2 linked regions of the Pelodiscus sinensis genome follow. The protein of the gene in region 2 interacts with the protein of the main gene of each other region in a biochemical or structural test. Links are inferred from orthologs where the notes say so. Each region holds a gene or a part of one and is shown on either strand. Other genes may lie near its edges.

Region 1 (9,384 bases), on a different chromosome or scaffold from region 2:
TAAACCTCCCTTGCTGCAATTTAAGCCCATTGCTTCTTGTCCTTTTCTCAGAGGTTAAAGAGAATAATTTTTCTCCCTCCTCCTTGTAACACCCTTTTAGATACTTGAAAGCTGCTATCAGTCTTCTCTGAGGCGAGAACAAGAGCTGGTCTTGTCAGGCTCTTACAGTCTCAGCTCATCAGGCTCATTTTCAAGACTAAACAAAGCCAGTTCTTTCAGTCTTCCCTCATAGGCCATGTCTTCTAGACCTTTCATCCTTTTTGTTGCTCCTCTTTGGACCTTCTCCAGTTTGCCCACATCTTTCCTGCAATGCAGTGCCCAGAACTGGACACGATACTCCAGCGGAGGCCTCCTCAGCGCAGAGGAGAGCGGGAGAATGACTTCTCATGTCTTGCCCACAACACTCCCATTAATACATCTCAGAACCTAACCAGCATCTCTCTAAAGGTAGCCCGCTCAAGGTTCCCCCATGTGACCCTCCTATGTGGTGAGCAAATCGGGGGCGCCATTGACCAGTGTGACACTGCAAGGGGGAGACAGCCGAATAATCCCAAGATGGATCTTTGGCGGCGGGAACCAAACTGGGGACTTTTGGTTCTAAAAGCAGGAGCTACTCTTGCATGAAAACCCCTACCTGAGACCCAGCCCTGGGCAACCTGGCAGTAGAGGCAGACTAGCTCGCTCCAGTCACTCCCTGCTAGAGACCTGAGCCTCCTCCCTGCCCGCCTGCTTCTGGCCCTCTCACCCCTGCCCTGGAGCACGGAGAGGGCACCTAGGCTGCAGTGCCTCCAATCCTAGCCCAAGGTTGGCTGCGCCTTCCCAGCTTCAGAGCACCAGGTCTCCCCAAGTCCCGGCACCAAGCCATCCGAGCGCAGCCCAGTCCAAGCCTGCCCTGCAGCCCACGCCAGCTCAGGCCACTCCTGGGCAAAGAGCCCGAGCGGGACCAGGCTAGATGGTTTTGGGCTCATTCCTTTGGCGCCCAAAGCGGGATTTAGCTCCCAGAATCGGGCCCGTGGGAACGGGAGCGTGTCGGAGGCAACAGGCTTGGTTTGCTGTGGGGGCTGAGGTGCCCAGGAGACGAAGGGCATGACTTGGCCGGCTCCCAGAATTCAGCGCTTCACTGCCTCGGGCCTGCTCTCGGAGTCAACATTTTGGCAGCATTGCTCCTGAGACACAAATCACGCGCCTGCCGACCCAGCCATGCCAACGACAGCCGGAGGGCAGTACAACCAAGACCCTTCGCGGGTACAGCTTTTTCCACCCGGGGAACTCCACTCCACTGCACGCTTCCGCTGGTATCCGCTGCACCAAAGCCCGTTACACCTCACAGCGGAAACAGGCCCCCTCCTGGGCGGCGGGTATCCTAGGCAGGGGAAGGCACTGCCTTACCTGGCCCTGCCCATGCCTAGCCTGTGCCATGCCTGATGGCCAGCTCGCTGGAGCTCCAGGCTGGAGCCGCACCGCCCGCCGGAGCTCTGGGACCAGGAGAGGTTGGGGCGTGCTACCCCAGGGCAGGAAAGGGGCAAGGGCCAGCAGCCACATTGTGGGGTGGGGGTGGGGCAGAAGAGGCGGGGCGGCGGCCAGCAGGCCGCAGTGTGTGAGGGGAAGATTGGGCTTTGGTGGGTAGGGCTTGGGGGGGGCTTTCCTCCCCTAGCCATGGAGTCACCATGGAAACCCTGGGGGTATGTCTCCACTTGCACCCTCTTTCGATAGAGGGATGCAAATGAAGACATTCGAAATTGCAAATGAAGCCGGGATTTAAATATCCTGCGCTTCATTTGCATAATCGCGTTATGGCGCTATTTCAAAATAGCGCTATTTTGAAATACAAAACGCAGTGTAGATGTGGTTATTTTGGGCAGACACCCTTCTTCCGAAATAACCCTTATTCCTCATAAAATGAGGTTTAACAGTTATTTTGGAAGAAGGGCGTTCTCCCAAAATAACCGCATCTACACCGTGTTTTGTATTTCGAAATAGCCCCATCACATGATTATGCAAATGAAGCATGGAATAGTTAGATCCTGGCTTCATTTGCAATTTTGTATGTCTTCATTTGCATCCCTCTATCGGAAGAGGGTGCAGGTATAGACATACCCTGGTTTATAGCTGCAGAACCAAAGGACAAGCTAGATACAGGCCCAGAGCCTCAAAAAGTATTCAGGCACTGGGCCCCCATAGAAATCAGGGTCACATAGGGAGCCTGCAGCGGATCCAGCGAGGAAGCGCGGCTGTCCTAAGTCTTTTTAAAGTCTGGGAGTGAAATCCCAACTCCACTGAAGCCAAAACTCCCATTGATTTTAATGGAACTAGGGCTGTGTCTAGACTACATGCCTCTGTCGGCAGAGGCATGTAGATTAGACAGATGGGCAGAGGGAAATGAAGCCGCGATTTAAATAATCACGGCTTCATTTAAATTTAAATGGCTGCCCCGCTCTGCCGATCAGCTGTTTGTCGGCAGAGCGGGGCAGTCTAGACGTTCCCCTGTCGACAGAAAACCCTTTTGTCGACTGCCCCGGTAAACCTCATCCCACGAGGCATAACGGGGCGGACGACAAAAGGGTTTTCTGTAGACAGGGGAACGTCTAGACTGCCCCGCTCTGCCGACAAACAGCTGATCGGCAGAGCGGGGCAGCCATTTAAATTTAAATGAAGCCGCGATTATTTAAATCGCAGCTTCATTTCCCTCTGCCCATCTGTCTAATCTACATGCCTCTGCCGACAGAGGCATGTAGTCTAGACACAGCCCAGGATTGCACCCGAGTTGGGTCCCCTTCTCTGACCGGGATTCTCATAGCTCCTGAGCAACCCAATGTGCCGGCAGGTCTCACTGAAATGAAGCTCTTCCCAGGCTGCCGTGGGTATTAAAGGAGCCGTTTTGGGGTTCCAGCCACAGACGGAGCAGGGCTTTCTATTCTGCTGCCTGGAGAACGATGATATTATGTCCTCAACATACCTCCAGGGCCTCCATTCGCTATGTCTCAGGCCGCGTCTTCACTACATGGAAGATCGATGGGGCTCGATTTAGTGGGTCTGGTGAAGACCTGCTAAGTCAAACTCAGAGGGTGCCCCTGTCCGTGATGGTACTCCTGCTCCTTGTGAGGAGTAAGGGAAGCCGATGGGAACATTTGCTCCTGTCAGCCTCCCACTGTGTGGACAGCGCAGAAACTCGTTTTAAGATACATCGACTCCAGCTATATAATTAATGTAGCTGAAGTTGCGTCTCTTCACTTAATCTTCCCCCTGTGGCGTAGACCAGGTCTTAGCTCCCCTCAGGCGTTGGTGGATTTCACCTCCCTGCAGGCAGAGTCTTCAGTGCTGAGTCAGTATTTCCACCCCCTCTGCACTGAGAAGAAACTAGACCTGTAGCGGTGTCCTGTCCAAGCACACAAGGAGTCGGAGCAGGGACGAGGGCTCCTGCATCATACGATGCTGCCTTACTCCAAGCCTCCATCTTCCCTCTGATGATCTCACAGACTTTTGACAAAGCAAGGGAAAGATTCCTTTCTCCCTCAGCCACTGCGGGCAGGTCACCACCTGGCTCCGTGCCTCGGTTTCCCCATTTGCAAAACAGGGAGAATGACACTGACTCCACCCACATTAAGGATTTAAAGTCCCATTTAAATGGTTAAATATAATGTTTCAATGGATAGCCCTTTAAAAGGGGCGGGGAGGTCGCTATGGCCAGGCCGGAGCGCACCCCACCCCACCCTGGCTGGGTGGGCTGGAGCATCCATGCCTGTGGCGCACCTGGGTTGGTCTGGAGCCAAGGCAGCCTGGCATCTGATCTTTTCCTTTGTGCCCTGGAGCATCTGGAGAGCTGCCTCATAAGTCCCTTCTTCCTACTCCCTCCTTAAACATTCTTGCAACAGCTGTAAATCCGACCACAAAAAATCCCGGAGCGTGACCACCAATGGCTATGCTCCCCACCCTTTCCCTTCCCGGCCTCCAGCGTTGGAAAGCTGCCCAGACAGAGCGTTGTTTGTAACTTACGCTGCTGCGGTGCAGGCCCCAGTCTCCTCCGCTGGCCCCCTGTCTGCATGGTCGCTCCGCCAGTTGCTTCGCTTCTCTCTGTCCAGGAGAGCTGCCCCAGCACCGTCTGTGCAGCAACTCCCCGGCGCTGTGGCTGGCTGAGCAGATTACTAGAGCGTTTCCCGGCTGCTTTTTTGCCCAGCTCTCCCCGTGGTCTCCCCGGCCGCACTAGCGCTGGAGAATTAGTGCTGCTGCTTGAGCGGGTGGGCGGCTGCCAGCAGAGCACCGCCTGGTACTTCAACTCTTGTGCAGCTCAAAGGACCGAGCACTTTCGCAACTTCCCAGCTTGAGAAACACTGGAGGGCTTAGACGTGCTGCTGTGAGTGATTGCTGCCCCAGGCAATCCAGGCCCACGCTTCACAGTCCCAGCCCAGAGTGACGGAGTCTCAGACGGGGGCCTGGAACAAGACCTCTAGACATGACGGCCACACCTCGCCTCTTTGGTCCTGCAGCATACAACTCCCCCCACCTCCTACCCTATGCGTGGACCTGGCGCGCGGTCATCCAGCACCCTCCACCCTCCCATGCACTGGGGCAACGTGAGTCTCGCTTGCTACTTACTCCCGTTATGGTCACGGCCCGCATGCAGCACCGATAGATATAAATATCAAATGCTCTTGCTGGACGGCTGCAATGGGAGGCTGCTTTAGGGTTAGGAGCCACTGCGATAATACACCGTAACCAGAGAGAGACAGAACCGGCAGCTCCCTGAAGTTGAGAGACCCCATTCTCCCAGCTTGATCCCACATGTCATTGCAGAGCCCCGTGGCATAGAGATGGTGGGATCCTTGTGTAGAGGCTGTCGTGGATCCATAAGTCATGCTAGACCTCTGACCTTTATACAGCATCTCTGACAATGTATCCCTTCCGTGCCAGGGCCTAAGCCTTCACTTTTTGCACAGCTCCCGACTTCTCTGAGCCTGGACCTCTGGCTATAGCATTTCGGTTTCTCGCTGTGTTTCCAAAAAAGCCCATGAACTCCCCCGCAGGAGACTTACTTCTCTTGGGAACCCTACAAGCAGCCGACGTATTGCAGGGACCCACTGCAGCTTTTGCAAAACAAGCCAGAGCAGGAATACTACGTGGAGGGTCCCTTAGGATACATTGGAAAAGCAAAGCAAGCCCATACTAGCAGCATCGCTGCCTACGCGCCTGCCGCCAAGTTTCCACCAGGGTAGGAATCTGTTTAACCAAGGCTGCTCGTTTCATGCTGCAGTCGTGCAATAGAACAGAATGTTTATTTTTGTTGCTGGTTTGAAACTCCTTTCTGCCTCCAGGTGTCCTGCCGGTTCATTAACCATGTGCCCAAAAGCATGAAAATCCAAACCAAACGTTTCAATTGGGTTGAAACTAAACATTTCAGCCTCTCCCCCGATACAGTTGGTTTGCCCACGTTTCAGTTCACTTGCTCATTTTGGGCCCCCTCTAAACTCTTGCCTCATCTGATTCTTTTTTAAATGGCTACCAAACCAAACAGGCCGGGGGCTCGCCCATTTCTGCATGGAACGTGCAATGGGTTGGTAATCTTGGGAGTTTGTTCAAATAGCTGTAAAATCATTTTAGAAAATGTATCTGCTAGGAATTCGCCCCTTCTGCTTGCTGCGCAGTTTAAACTCGTGGCACCGAGGCAGAGATGAAAGAATCAGTACAAATAAAAATTAGCCAAGTCCTTTACTCAAATCAAAAGTCAAGGGATGTTTCCCTGGCTGGAAATTGAACAGAAACGTAGGACTCCTTCCTAGGACACAATCTCTTGAGGTCCCTTCTATATGATGCTGTTGCAAAAAAAAGCAAACATGATCCTGGGATGCATTAACAGGTGTGTTGTGAGCAAGACACGAGAAGTCATTCTTCTGCTCTACTCTGTGCTGGTTAGGCCTCAGTTGGAGTATTGTGTCCAGTTCTGGGCATCGCATTTCAAGAAGGATGTGGAGAAATTGGAGAGGGTCCAGAGAAGAGCAACAAGAATGATTAAAGGTCTAGAGAAAATGACCTATGAAAGAAGGCTGCAAGAATTGGGTTTGTTTAGTTTAGAAAAGAGAAGATTGAGAGGGGACATGATAGCCGTTTTCAGGTATCTAAAAGGGTGTCATAAGGAGGAAGGAAAAAACTTGTTCATCTTGGCCTCTGAGGATAGAACAAGAAGCAATGGGCTTAAACTGCAGCAAGGGAGGTTTAGGTTGGACATTAGGAAAAAGTTCCTAACTGTCAGGGTGGTCAAACACTGGAATAAATTGCCCAGGGAGGTTGTGGAATCTCCATCTCTGGAGATATTTAAGAGTAGGTTAGATAATTGTCTATCAGGGATGGTCTAGACAGTACTTGGTCCTGCCATGAGGGCAGGGGACTGGACTCGATGACCTATCGAGGTCCCTTCCAGTCCTAGTATTCTATGATTCTATGAGCCTTAACTTCTATTCATTGTATCAGTGGAAGGTTCAAGATCGCCCCCTAGTGGACAACTATAGGATAATCTGCCCACAGAGGCTATTTCTTCTTAACCCTAACCTAAGTGTCTGAGAAATGCCAGCCCTGCTCCAGGGGAGGCTTCCAGGAAGGCTCTGCCATATGAAACGTATTTCAGCGTTAGAATTTAACCGCTAGGGTTTAACCACTAGGCTTTTTAGAAAGAACTTTCTACATCCCTAATTGAAACCCATGCAGTTTTGCAATCCACAGAAAAGATCATGCCACAGAAATGGCAATTTCGGGGACAAACCCTGCTGAACTATATTTAAATAGAGTAAGAGCAGGAGGTAGATTCAAATGTATTTACTCCTCTCTCCGGTGCCAGTTATCCAACGCTACATCCTGAAGTACATTCATTTGTCAAGGTCAAAGGCCCCGGCCATACAAAGCAGCGATTCCCCAGGGCATTCAGGGCTGTGCTTGTTCTGAACAAAAGAGGTTATGAACCAGGGAAACCCCTGGGTGAGGTCTAAAGGATTGTTTTCCTGCCGGAGCCCCTGTTGGAGTTGGGTAAGTTCATATGCACCTAAGTACGTTTTTAATCTTGTTTTTTCTGTGACGCTTTCACCTTAGGAATAAATGTGATTGCTGGTAGTAACTTACATCTGTGGGCAACTGGGCTGTTTATGGCTATGTCTAGGGAGGGGGCTAGATTTGTAGGGGCCCGGTCTCCCCATCTCAAGGGGGGCTGAGGCCTCCTAGCCCTGGTTACTGTGACTAGATTACATCTGTGCTGTGCTGTACCCTGGAGAAGCAATAAACTCCCTCAATTCTACTGGCTGGTGGAGTCTGTTCGTGCCACTACGGGGGTGCAGAAGTTGGTAGACTGCAAGATTCTTTCAGAAGAAGCTTTTCTGGAAGAGAGCTTCCGGAAACGCTTATTTTGAAAGAGAGTGTCTACACAGCAAAAGCGATCTGCTTTTTCAAAAGATAGCATCCATATTGATTGGACGCAATCTCGCATTTAAGTTGTGATTAGTATGGATGGAGTGGCCACCAGGGCACCTGTGTTATTCCCTGGAGACCTCTTCTTTCAAAAGAACTCCCTCTTCTTCATCCCGAACCGTCTTTTTCTAAAAAAGGTTTTTTAGAAAAAGACTTCTTCCTCATAGAAAGAGGTTTACCATCGTCAGAAAACCCCCTCCGTTCTTTGGGCTGTCTGTCAAAAGGACTCAATGGCAGTGTGGACACAGATATTGTTTTTCTGGAACAACAGCCATTTTTCCAGAAAAATGTTGCACCGTAGACACACACTATAGCAATGTTTCTTAAATTTTTTAAGACCAAGGAACACCACATAATATTTTTTTTTAATTAGGAACACTAAGGATTTTTTGTTGAGGAAAAAAAAAAAAGGTCCAGCGGAAAGCTGTTGAGAAAAAAAAAAGAAGAAAGAAACACTGCCCGATAGCCATTGAAAAGAAAGCAAAGATGGGGTGCTTAAGTGATTATGTGCCACTGCCCACTTTATGCATGGTTGTAAGAGGTGCTCCATGCGTTATAAAAAGTGGTTGACATAACAAGAGGATGCAGGCTGGGTAGGTTCGCTGTTGTATTGATTTTGAAACGCAAACACAGTTGTGTTTCCACTTAACAGTACAAGGCCTTGCTAAATCCACCCCCAGCCACCAAACTTTAACAGTGACAAAGCCAGGATGGGCTGTAGACCAGAGACCAGCACCCAACACAATGGACCAAGGTGGGTGACGCTAAAGGGAGGAGGTGGGGCAGAGGATGGGTGGGGTAGTGGGTACAAATCTTGGCCAGTGGTAGTGTCCCTAGGACAATAAGATCCATAGATACGGAGATTGGGGTGGCTGTATTTGAGTGTTGGCAATACTTTGCCAACACAGAATTGACTGGATAACTCCAGGCCAATTTTACTCTGAGCTGCCAATGCCCCCTTCCCCCGGCTTCCAGTAAGGATGGAGGATGGATATGCAGTGAGCTTCCTCAGACAGTACCACATAGGAAAACAAAAGCCATGGAGCATGACAGGGCAAATGGATAGGATGGACCATGCTGGGCTGTCTTGATCTGTCTGGTGTTAGTTTCTAAGGAGCCATAGGACTGCTCGTTGTTTTTGAAGGGGTGAGAGGTGCAAGCTCTGGGAGGGAATTTGGATGCAGGAGAAGGTGGAGAAGGGGATGCTGGCTCAGGGAGGGGGCTCCAGGCTGGGGAGTGTTGGGGTCAGGTGGAGGGTTGGGGTACTGAGCAAGCCACAGGCTTGTGGATGTGAGGGTGCAGGAGTTTGGGTTGGGGGATATGAGGAGCTCAGGGCAGGGAGGTTGGGAGTACGATGGGCTCAGGACACAGATTTCAGGTGTGTGGATGGTGCAGGAGTGTTGTGGCAGAAGACAGAGGATGTGGGGTACAGGAATTTTGGGGTGTGAGAGGCTCAGGACAGGGTGTTCCAGCATAGATCTAGGGCCTGGGGGTGGGGTGCAGGAGTGTTATGATGCTGCGGCCAGATGGGGGGTTGGTTGGCCAGGCTTCATTTTTAAACAAAATATTATATCAAACACAAAAAGTTTCAGCGTTGTCTTTATTTCTGAGAAGGGCAGGGAACCTGTTTTGAGTCAGGGGTCACTGACCCATAGAAAAGTCAGTTGGGGCCACACAAGTGAGATGCAAAAAAATAACTCCGCCAGCCCCCCATCCCAAGCCTCACTAATGTGGCCCCAACCTTGCTGGTGGGAGCAGGGGACATGGTACTGGGGAAGGGTGCTAGTGGGTGCTGGGGCAGGGGACAGGGTGTTGGGGTGGGGACAGGGCTCTAGTGGGGGCAGGGGACAGGATGCTGATGGGAGCAGAGTGTTGGTAGGGACAGGGGATAGGGAGTCCCCCGCATGTGCCTCCCCCCCGGGAGTCCTACCCCCTTGC
Region 2 (8,961 bases):
ACAACTCAGACAAATGGAGGTCATGTCAAGCCCAAAGCACACCCACATTACAGCCTGCCACAAAAAAGAAGATGAAGAAGAAACTTCTGAGTTTTGCACAAATCTACTCACAACACTTCTATCTACCTCTCTCTCACTCCCACACACACACCAGGCAACACTTAAATCAGGCTTGGGAAACTGCCAACCATTTCCAGATACTATTTGTACAATAAACAAAAAAAAAATTTTTTTTCTGATTTCCAGGTGCTCCGTGTACTAAGCTACAGACACTCTCTTAGAATTTCTATCCCTAACATAGCGACCATGCTACGGAAGACATGGTGTGAGAGACAAACAGCACTGAATGCTGGAGAACTCACTTGATTCTAGGCAGTGTCACACATTGAATGACGTGTTATATCTAGAAACCAGTCTCTTTCTTTCTTTCTTCCAAATGGTCAGCTTGGTGGGTTATTTATTTGGGTCTGCTGAGTCAAACCAGTTCATTTCCAACATGGAATTGTGAGCTGTCCCCCTAAAGTCAAGCTGTGCTCTGGTAGCTTGCTGCTAAAACCAGGAAAATAAATAGATGTTTGTACTCAGCATAGTAAAAGGGCTAGACACAGAGCCTGCTGTTTGACAATGTTGAGTCAATATAACCTGAGTAAGTGCATGAGTAACTCATGTTCTCTCTATAGAACATCTGTGCTTGGGTAAATATATTTATTAATGATTAAAATGGTTTTGAGTTGTTACACACACACACACACACCTTTCCTGCCCCCACACACACTTCCCCCTCCCCCTGTCTAAAAAGATGTTATCTTTTAACCTGCATAAGTGTCAAACAGAAACAGATTCTGGCCGGGGGTAATTGTCCAAATTCAGAGGCATAGACAGGTTTTTTTTGTTGGTTGTTTTCGGACCTTCATTCCTTTCTGAACAAAGAAAAATACTACGAGCTGCATAGTGGAGATTAAAACTCCTCTATTAATAGCATTATCTGAACATATTCTTTAGGGATTCCAATTGCACTAGTAATAATGGGAATGAGCATTTCTGGAAAAAATCATCCTCAAAGCATCTCGTCAGAGGATTGTTTCCTGACAACAACAAAAATGAAATATTTACCTGATAATCTTGCAATACTACCAATATTTTGGCTTAAACTATATCAGTGTAGGAAAGTAGTCATTACAGTAAACTGGAAGTCAGGATGCTTGGCTTTTAACCCTGACAAGGCCAGTAACTATATGCTTTTGGGCAACTCACTTATTCACCTGGGGCTAAATTTTCAGATATTACTTGTTATTTTGGTTGCCTAAAATTTTGGGTGTCTAATATGAGGTCCTTTAAAAGGGTCATCTCATTTGGAAGGAGACCAGATATCGTGGTAATGAGTGGTGGTAGGAAACCCTAAAAAAGACAGATTATGGGATGGGGCTCCCCAAAAGAGAAGCATTTACATAACTCGTCAATTTTTTGGAAAATGAAGACCTCCATGCTTCAGCTTTTCCTTCTGTAAAATATGGATAATGATACTTACCTGCCTCACACTTAGGGCTTAATTAGCCAGCATTTATAAAGCCCTTGACATCCTAGAATGGAAGGTGCTAAATATAATGTAGTGTTATATTTTAGAGCATGAGTTTAGTTCTGGGGAGTTAATGATACTCTAGTATTTAAAATTTGAAAATAAAAAACCCCAAACAATCTTTTTAAAAAGAACCAATATCTGTAATGGATAGTTATGATTAGCAAGGACAATGAGTTAATGAGAAAGCACTATTTAATTCTATGCACATCTTCAGTGAACATCGCATGGTTATTGCAGTTATGTATTAATTAGTGCTCTGAAATGGGTGAAAGGGACATGAAAGGGGTGAAGGAAGCTAGCAGGTGTAGAAATGAGATTAGACAACAGAGGACATTTCTATCCAGAATACGAGTAATCCAAAATCCCCATCAGTCTCAATTATATGTTTTGTATAAGTGAAAATAACTGAAGTAACATGAGAACAGCCCAGGCACAGGGATGGCTCCCGATATTGAAAGAGAGGCACAGAATCTATTAGTATGAGCCTGCCAGGAGTCTAGTGACCAAACATCAGACCTAACTACCTGCCCCTGATCTATGCATGGTTAGGCCTCTCAATGCACAACTCACACCCTTCCCTAGTGGAAGAAGGCACCAAGATAATACATATAAGTATTATTTTATTTACCATTTGGTTTATTTAAGGTGTGCTAGAGCTTAAGCTGTACCAGAGCTGTGTCATATCAACACTACCATATGGCTCAGAGTGCTGGCAGATGACAGAGTGCAACCGTGCCAAACTCTCATCCTTTCACACCACCAGCCTTCGTAAGATACATTGTTTTCGGCCAAAAAATGCAATCTCCAACCACGACCTGCTCCTGCGATGCCACCAGGAGTTCATGACAACTATCATTATGAGAAAATGCTGGAGATGGATAGGGCACGTGATGAGAAGGGAGGCAGATGCCATTGTAAAGATAGCACTTCACTGGACGCCTGAAAGACGACGGAAACATGGGAGCCCCAAGACAACATGGCGGCGTACTGTTGAGTCAGACATGAAGAGAATGAATTACAACTGGGACACACTGGAGAAAATGGCCAAAGACAAACAAAAAATGGAGAACCTTCGTTGCTGCCCTACACACCAGCGGGCGTAATAGGCATTAACTAACAGATTATGTTTCCAAGATTTTTTTCAGAACCACAAGTGATAGAAACTTTCCTAGAGAAACAAAGATTCTTACACTTCCAAAGAACTGTGGGGACCAAGGCCTTAAGATGTACAGCAATTATTGTGACAATATACAACTACAAGAATGAAGGACACTTCAGTCCTCCTCTGATCTCAGAGATGACGCTCGATAAGTCTGTGGCTCCACACTGGGGAGTGAGCAGACAAGAAGTGGGGCTTGGAGCTACCTCATTTCCTTCCAGCTTAAGTTGAAAGAGTGATAAGACAACCCAGTCCCAGGACAATCTTACCCTTCTTCCTCTGATGGAACAATTAGGAAGAAATCTTGCTGAGATTTTCTCCACATTAGTGTTATCCTGCTGATTTTCCTGAGGGAGAAAACAATCAGCCCATTGTTAGCAACTAGTGATTATATTAAATGAGTTTGGTATGGGTTTCAGTTTATTTTCAGAGGATGGGTGCTCACATCACACACACAAAACTTCTCCAAATTGGGAAAATCTGTAGAAAGGTCAATGAAAGTGAAAGAGAGACTGAATGCCAGGGCATACATTCAGCCAATATTGGCATACAAATACCTCTTAATTCTGATCTGTTTTCATTCAAAAAAATAAATCAGTTTCTAGCTAGTAGGAGTGCACAGTAAACGTTATCAACATGCACTCGGTAACTGAGGCAGAGATCTCTATGTCAATCTGCAGAAAGCCTGCAGATTAGAACATTAGTTCTAAAACCCTGAATTTTAGTGAGGGGTAAACTCAGAGGTCTAGTGATGATAATTTGTGTCAAAATTGTTAACTATTTCATTCTACATGTAAGAGGTTGTCTATCTTGTAAAAAATTTCCATATATAGTGGTATAAGTATATAGTTAAATCAGTATAACTGTCTTGATTTAAACTCCATGTAAACATTTAGTCCAGTATCAGAGTTGCTTTTTTGCAGTGGAGGGGTTCTTTTAAACCTATCCTAAAGCAATAAAGGTACTTGTACACTGGAATGGGGGTCCATGTAGGCATTACGCTAGTTTCACTATATTAGTTTAACTTCACACCTTAACTAATATTGGTATAACTTTTCTGTGTAGAAAAGCCATCTGAAAGAAGAGAGAGGACCTCTGACCTGCACAACTGAGTGTTATCTCCATAGGGTACCTAATGCAAATAAACCAAGCACAAGATGCCCAATGGAGCTCAAAGAATATGCACAATTATAATTTGAACACCTGCACAATCTACTGTGAGCAGCAACTCACAGGTGCAGAGTTTATTTTGTGGGTGCAGATGGAAGAGGTATACTACCCCAACCCGATCCCTACTAAGCTCTCATTCCTAAGTCTTCTTGGATAGGATTCAGGAACATTATCAGAGCAGTGTCAGGGAATTCTGCTGCCTGTGCTATACCTGCCCTGGGAATGAGTAGAAGATTTCAAGCTTGGGGGATGTCAGCTTTTCTTGAGCACATTAAATAAAGAGCAGCTCAGTGCAAACACATCTCCATTGCAACAGAGGGAATTAAAACAACAAGCAGTGCATGGCGCCAGTGACTGAAATACAGTGGGATTGGTAGAGATCCCCCCACCCTTACATACTTGAAATATTTGTCCACTTAATTTATCCCTGACCCCCAACTCCAGACAGTCTGACCTCTCTTCTTTGTTATCCTTTCTTGTACAACTTCTTTATGGGGAGTGCAATACTTCAAGAGCACTGAGAGTTAACCTATTTTGACTGTGGGAAGTGGGGGGGGGGAGAGGGAAGACTGGATAGGAGTGGGTCGGCAAAAATGAATGTTGTTTGGTTATTTTTACTTATGGTTGCAATCTTGCTTTATGTCCGGACGAGAAAAAGTTCTTATCTCCCTTTCAGTCCCATATTCTGATTAGAAACACGACCCCCCCCCCCACACACAAACACAAGAGTTATTTGTTAGAAGAGCTGCTATCAAGGAACAAGGGCTGTCTCTTTGTGTGGTTGGCTGGTGCGACGTTTGCCTTCCAGCTTTTGGAAAATATCTTTAACTTAATCATATTCACATGACAAACCCTAAATTAAAAAAAAACACACATCATGAGTAATGCAGAAAGGAGAGAAGCGAAAGAGAGGAGAAGTCTGAGAGCGGCGGATCGCTTCACAGGCAGAGCGGAGCTGTCAGAGAGAGAGAGAGAGAGGGGGGAGGGTGCTGCTTTTTGCAAAGACGAGATCGGGAGTTTAACCCCATCCGATCTCCGCGCTGGCGAGAAGAGAGAGAGAGAGAGGAAGGTCCAGTAACCAGGCAAAGGCTGCGATTGCAACAAAAGCTCCGGACTTCCCTCCTGGCGTCACTCAGTGCTGAGGCGTGTTGGCTTCGCAGGAAGCAGGTTTTCCTCCCCTGGCTTTGCAAAGCCCCCTTTCCCGTGGAGCCTCATGCACTCTGCAGAGCAGCAGCCCAGGCGGCAGGATGACTCCCGGGGAGAGAGGCGCTAAGGTGCTAACCCCCCTCCTGCTGCTGCTGGCCCTCCTCGCCAGCCCCAACGCCGGCCTGGAGGTGCAGCACAAGTTCCTCTCGCCCACGTTGACCAACAACTTCGCTCTGGACGGGCCGGGCAGCAAGATCTACCTGGCGGCTGTCAACCGGCTCTACCAGCTCTCCGGCCCCAACCTGACGCTGGAGGTGGAGGAGCAGGTGGGCCCGGTGCCGGATAACCCCCTGTGCCACGCACCCCAGCTGCCGCAGGCCTCCTGCGAGCACCCCAGGCGGCTGACCAACAACTACAACAAGATCCTGCAGCCGGACCCGGAGCAGGGCATCGTGGTGGTGTGCGGCTCCATCTACCAGGGCTTCTGCCAGCTGCGCAGCATGGCCAACATCTCCGCCGTGGCCGTGAGCTTCCCGCCGGGCAGCGCCAGCGGCGGCGGGGAGCCGGTGACCGTCTTCCCCAGCATGCTCAACGTGGCGGCCAACCACCCCAACGCCTCCACCGTGGGGCTGGTGCTGCGGCCGGCGGCGGGGAGGCGGGACACGCGGCTGCTGGTGGGGGCGACCTACACGGGCTTCGGCAGCCCCTTCTTCCCGCGCAACCAGAGCCTGGAGGACCATCGCTTCGAGAACACGCCCGAGATCGCCATCCGCGCCCTCAACGCCCGCGGCGACCTGGCCAAGCTCTTCACCTTCGACCTCAACCCCTCAGACGACAACATCTTCAAGATCAAGCAGGGCCACAAGGCCCGCCACAAGCTGAGCTTCGTGCGCGCCTTCCTGCACCCCGCCCCGCCGCTGAGGGGCGCCGCCTACGCCTACCTGGCCCTCAACAGCGAGGCCAACGCCGGCGACAAGGAGAGCCACTCGCACAGCCTGCTGGCCCGCATCTGCCTGGCCGAGCCGGGCCGCAACGCCAGCGCCGGCGAAGCCAAGAAGCTGACCGAGTCCTACATCCAGCTGGGGCTGCAGTGCGGGCCCGGCGGCGGCAGCGGCTTCACCCGCCTGCTCTCCGTCTTCCCCGCCGCCGCCGCCCTGCAGCTGGCGCCCGCCGGCGGGGAAGGGGCCCGGCCGCAGGAGCTGCTCTTCGGGGTCTTCGAGGGCGCCGCCCCGCCCGGGGCCCGCCACAACTCGGCGCTCTGCGCCTTCCGCTTCGCCGACATCGAGCGGCGCATCCGGCAGGCCCGGCACTCGTGCTTCGTGGAGCCCGACTCCGGGCGGGTGGACGTGCTGGACAGCGTGGTGCAGGGCACCGGGCCGGCCTGCGAGAAGAGGAACATCCAGGTAGGCGGCGGGGGGCTGGGATCGGGCCCCCCCCTGGGCAGCCTTGTGGTGGGAGGGAGGCAGCTCTGGAGACGCGCCTGTCGTTAGTGGGGACCCCGCTGCCCCGCTCAGGGGAGCTTCAGCATCCTCGCTGATATTGGATCTCAGGAGTGGGGATTCCTCCTCTGGGATGGGGAGCGAGACTCCTGGGATGTTGCAGTTGCCCACCCTCGTGGGGACCCAGGTAACAGCGGAGTCCAGGAGAGCAGAGTCCCAACATTAGGAGAACCACTGAGAAAGTTCGGAAGGTGCCCCAGATAAGGCCGCAGCTTAGTTTTCTAGGATGGTGGGACACCTCTTCTGTAGAGGGTGAGAAACTGGAAGGTTCCCTTTCAAGGGCCGTGGCGCAGGGAGCAGATATGTCCCTGTGGAAGATCAGAGTGCAGAGTTGGGGAATCCCTACTGGGGAGAGCCCCTAATTCTGATAAAAGTGCAGCTCAAGAGAGCAGATTTTGAGGCAGAAGGGGTGTGGTTCAAGGCACTATAACCCCCTGTCGGTGGAAAAAAGTTAGGTAATCCATGTGATACTACACTACAGTGAGATGATTTTATCCTAGGGAAACCACCTGCTGGCAGAAACCCAGCTGTTTAGTAGATGAGAGACTGTAAAAGGCAACCTAGAGCTCTGCAGGACAGGGCTCAGCACACCCCAAACAGACAGTGTGGTGAGCCCCTGCTGATATCCAGCAGTGCATAGACTGGAATGCTTGGCTGAGACTGGATTCTCCATGGTCCCAATCTTGAAGTTATTACTCAGGCAAAACACTTTTAAAATCATTGTAAGGACTTTAGAATTGGGTCTCATGTTTGGATTAATAACCGTGAACCTTCTTGACTAGCTGAGTAAGTGATAACAATCCATCAGGTTGAAGTCTGGTGGGATTTGAGAATCATGGAAGTGAGAGGCGGAAAAGATTTATTAGTTTGTCCATTGGAATTGTTCTCTTCAGTCCATTCTCCGGTGCTTTGTCTAATCCAGTGTAAACATCGAAAGTGATACAGCTTTCACATATCTGTGTATCTGACATAAGCATTGTCGTATAAATGCAAATTAGAGATGGGATTCAGTCAGAAGCCTGCATGTGAGAACCACTGGACTTTGGGTTGGTGGTGCTTGGAATCAGAACCAAAAGCCTGACCGGAATGTTATAACTAGTCTCAGGCCCATACGCATTTCTGTGGGGGTATGTGCTTTTTTTGTAAATGTGGACCACAAGGGTGTAAATGCACCCCAATGGTCCCCCACATAAGCTGGGAAATCAGCCCCAGCCTTCCCTCAGCTGGTCAAAGCATGGCTGTGGGAGGCTCAGACAGCTCACTGCTCCTGCGGAGTATACTTACTTAGGGGACCATGGGGGGTGCTTTCGCACCCTTTGCACTCGCCCTGTGTACAGGCCTGAGTCTCTGTGGGTGTGAACTTGCACACTGTACCCCATTAAAATCTGTTGCAAATCTCCATAGACTTCAGTGATGCATATCAGGCTCTAATGGTCTATCCCAGACCTTAGCACCTGAATCCCTGTCAGACTTTGGATTTGGGTGATGGTTGAGAAAGAGTATGTCAGCAGCCAAACCCAGACCTCTCTCAGAGGTTTACAGTAGTATGAAGCCAAACTTCTGCCCTGGATTGAAGTGGGTGTTAGAATTTGTATGTGGATTCTGCATTCCCAGGACTGTCTCTGTTCAAATCCATCTCATAGCCTCCTCTGATCCATCACTATGAGTGATTCTGGTTTATGTACACAATTTAGAAAATTGAGGAAGACATGCTGAGTACAATAAGCTCCTTTTTGGCAATGATTTACATTAATTCAGTATCCATGTGTAAATTTAGGTTCATTGTGACAATCAATTGGATTCCTACGTGGCTTACTATGAAGTCAAACATGCAGTGGTTTTTGCATACATACAACCACCCCCTCTTTTATCAAGGACCATCTTTATTCCCACGTTCCCTGTCCCCAGTGAACTAGTGGTGACTCACAGACTTTATTTTTCTCTTTCTTTTCATTTGTTGCTCTCTGTACAGACATGGAGGAAAGGCAGCTCTAAGAATGTGTGTTCAGTTGTAGCTGTTCTCTTCCCACGTCCCTCTGTATATTTCTGCAGCAGGACAGTGCAGGATGTGTACAGTACATAGAGAGGGAACACAGGCTGAATTGTTTCATTGCATTTGGTGTGCAAGTTTACCATTGTCACAAATTGTTACTAAGTGGACATGAATGTTAATAGAAGCAAGGTGGGAGGGCAATATCTTTTATTGAACTAAGAGACAAACAAGAGTGCAAGAGACAAGCTTTTGAGCTTTACAAAACTCAGGTTGGAAATTATCACTCGTGCCCACTTTATTTTAAGTGGTTTCTGGCAACATATGTTTACTGGATGTTTAACAATTTGTCCCATCTTGTAGTTAGCTGGTTACATTTTCCAGATCTGAATATGAGCTCTCTGAAGTTTGAAAACAT

What was found.
Region 1: the proteins of PLXND1 (region 2) and SEMA4A form a complex in vitro, tested with the Homo sapiens proteins (2 studies listed by IntAct, with this or other methods). The link is inferred for Pelodiscus sinensis from reciprocal best matches to the Homo sapiens genes PLXND1 and SEMA4A.

The regions. Positions count from the first base shown.
Region 1 is NC_134734.1:16,426,768-16,436,151, forward strand, and holds the start of SEMA4A (semaphorin-4A), read right to left. Parts: upstream 4,358-9,384; 5' UTR 3,994-4,357; intron 1-3,993. UniProt on the Homo sapiens protein: Cell surface receptor for PLXNB1, PLXNB2, PLXNB3 and PLXND1 that plays an important role in cell-cell signaling. Regulates glutamatergic and GABAergic synapse development.
Region 2 is NC_134721.1:20,128,128-20,137,088, reverse strand, and holds the start of PLXND1 (plexin-D1), read left to right. Parts: upstream 1-4,986; 5' UTR 4,987-5,155; coding exon 5,156-6,457; intron 6,458-8,961. UniProt on the Homo sapiens protein: Cell surface receptor for SEMA4A and for class 3 semaphorins, such as SEMA3A, SEMA3C and SEMA3E. Plays an important role in cell-cell signaling, and in regulating the migration of a wide spectrum of cell types.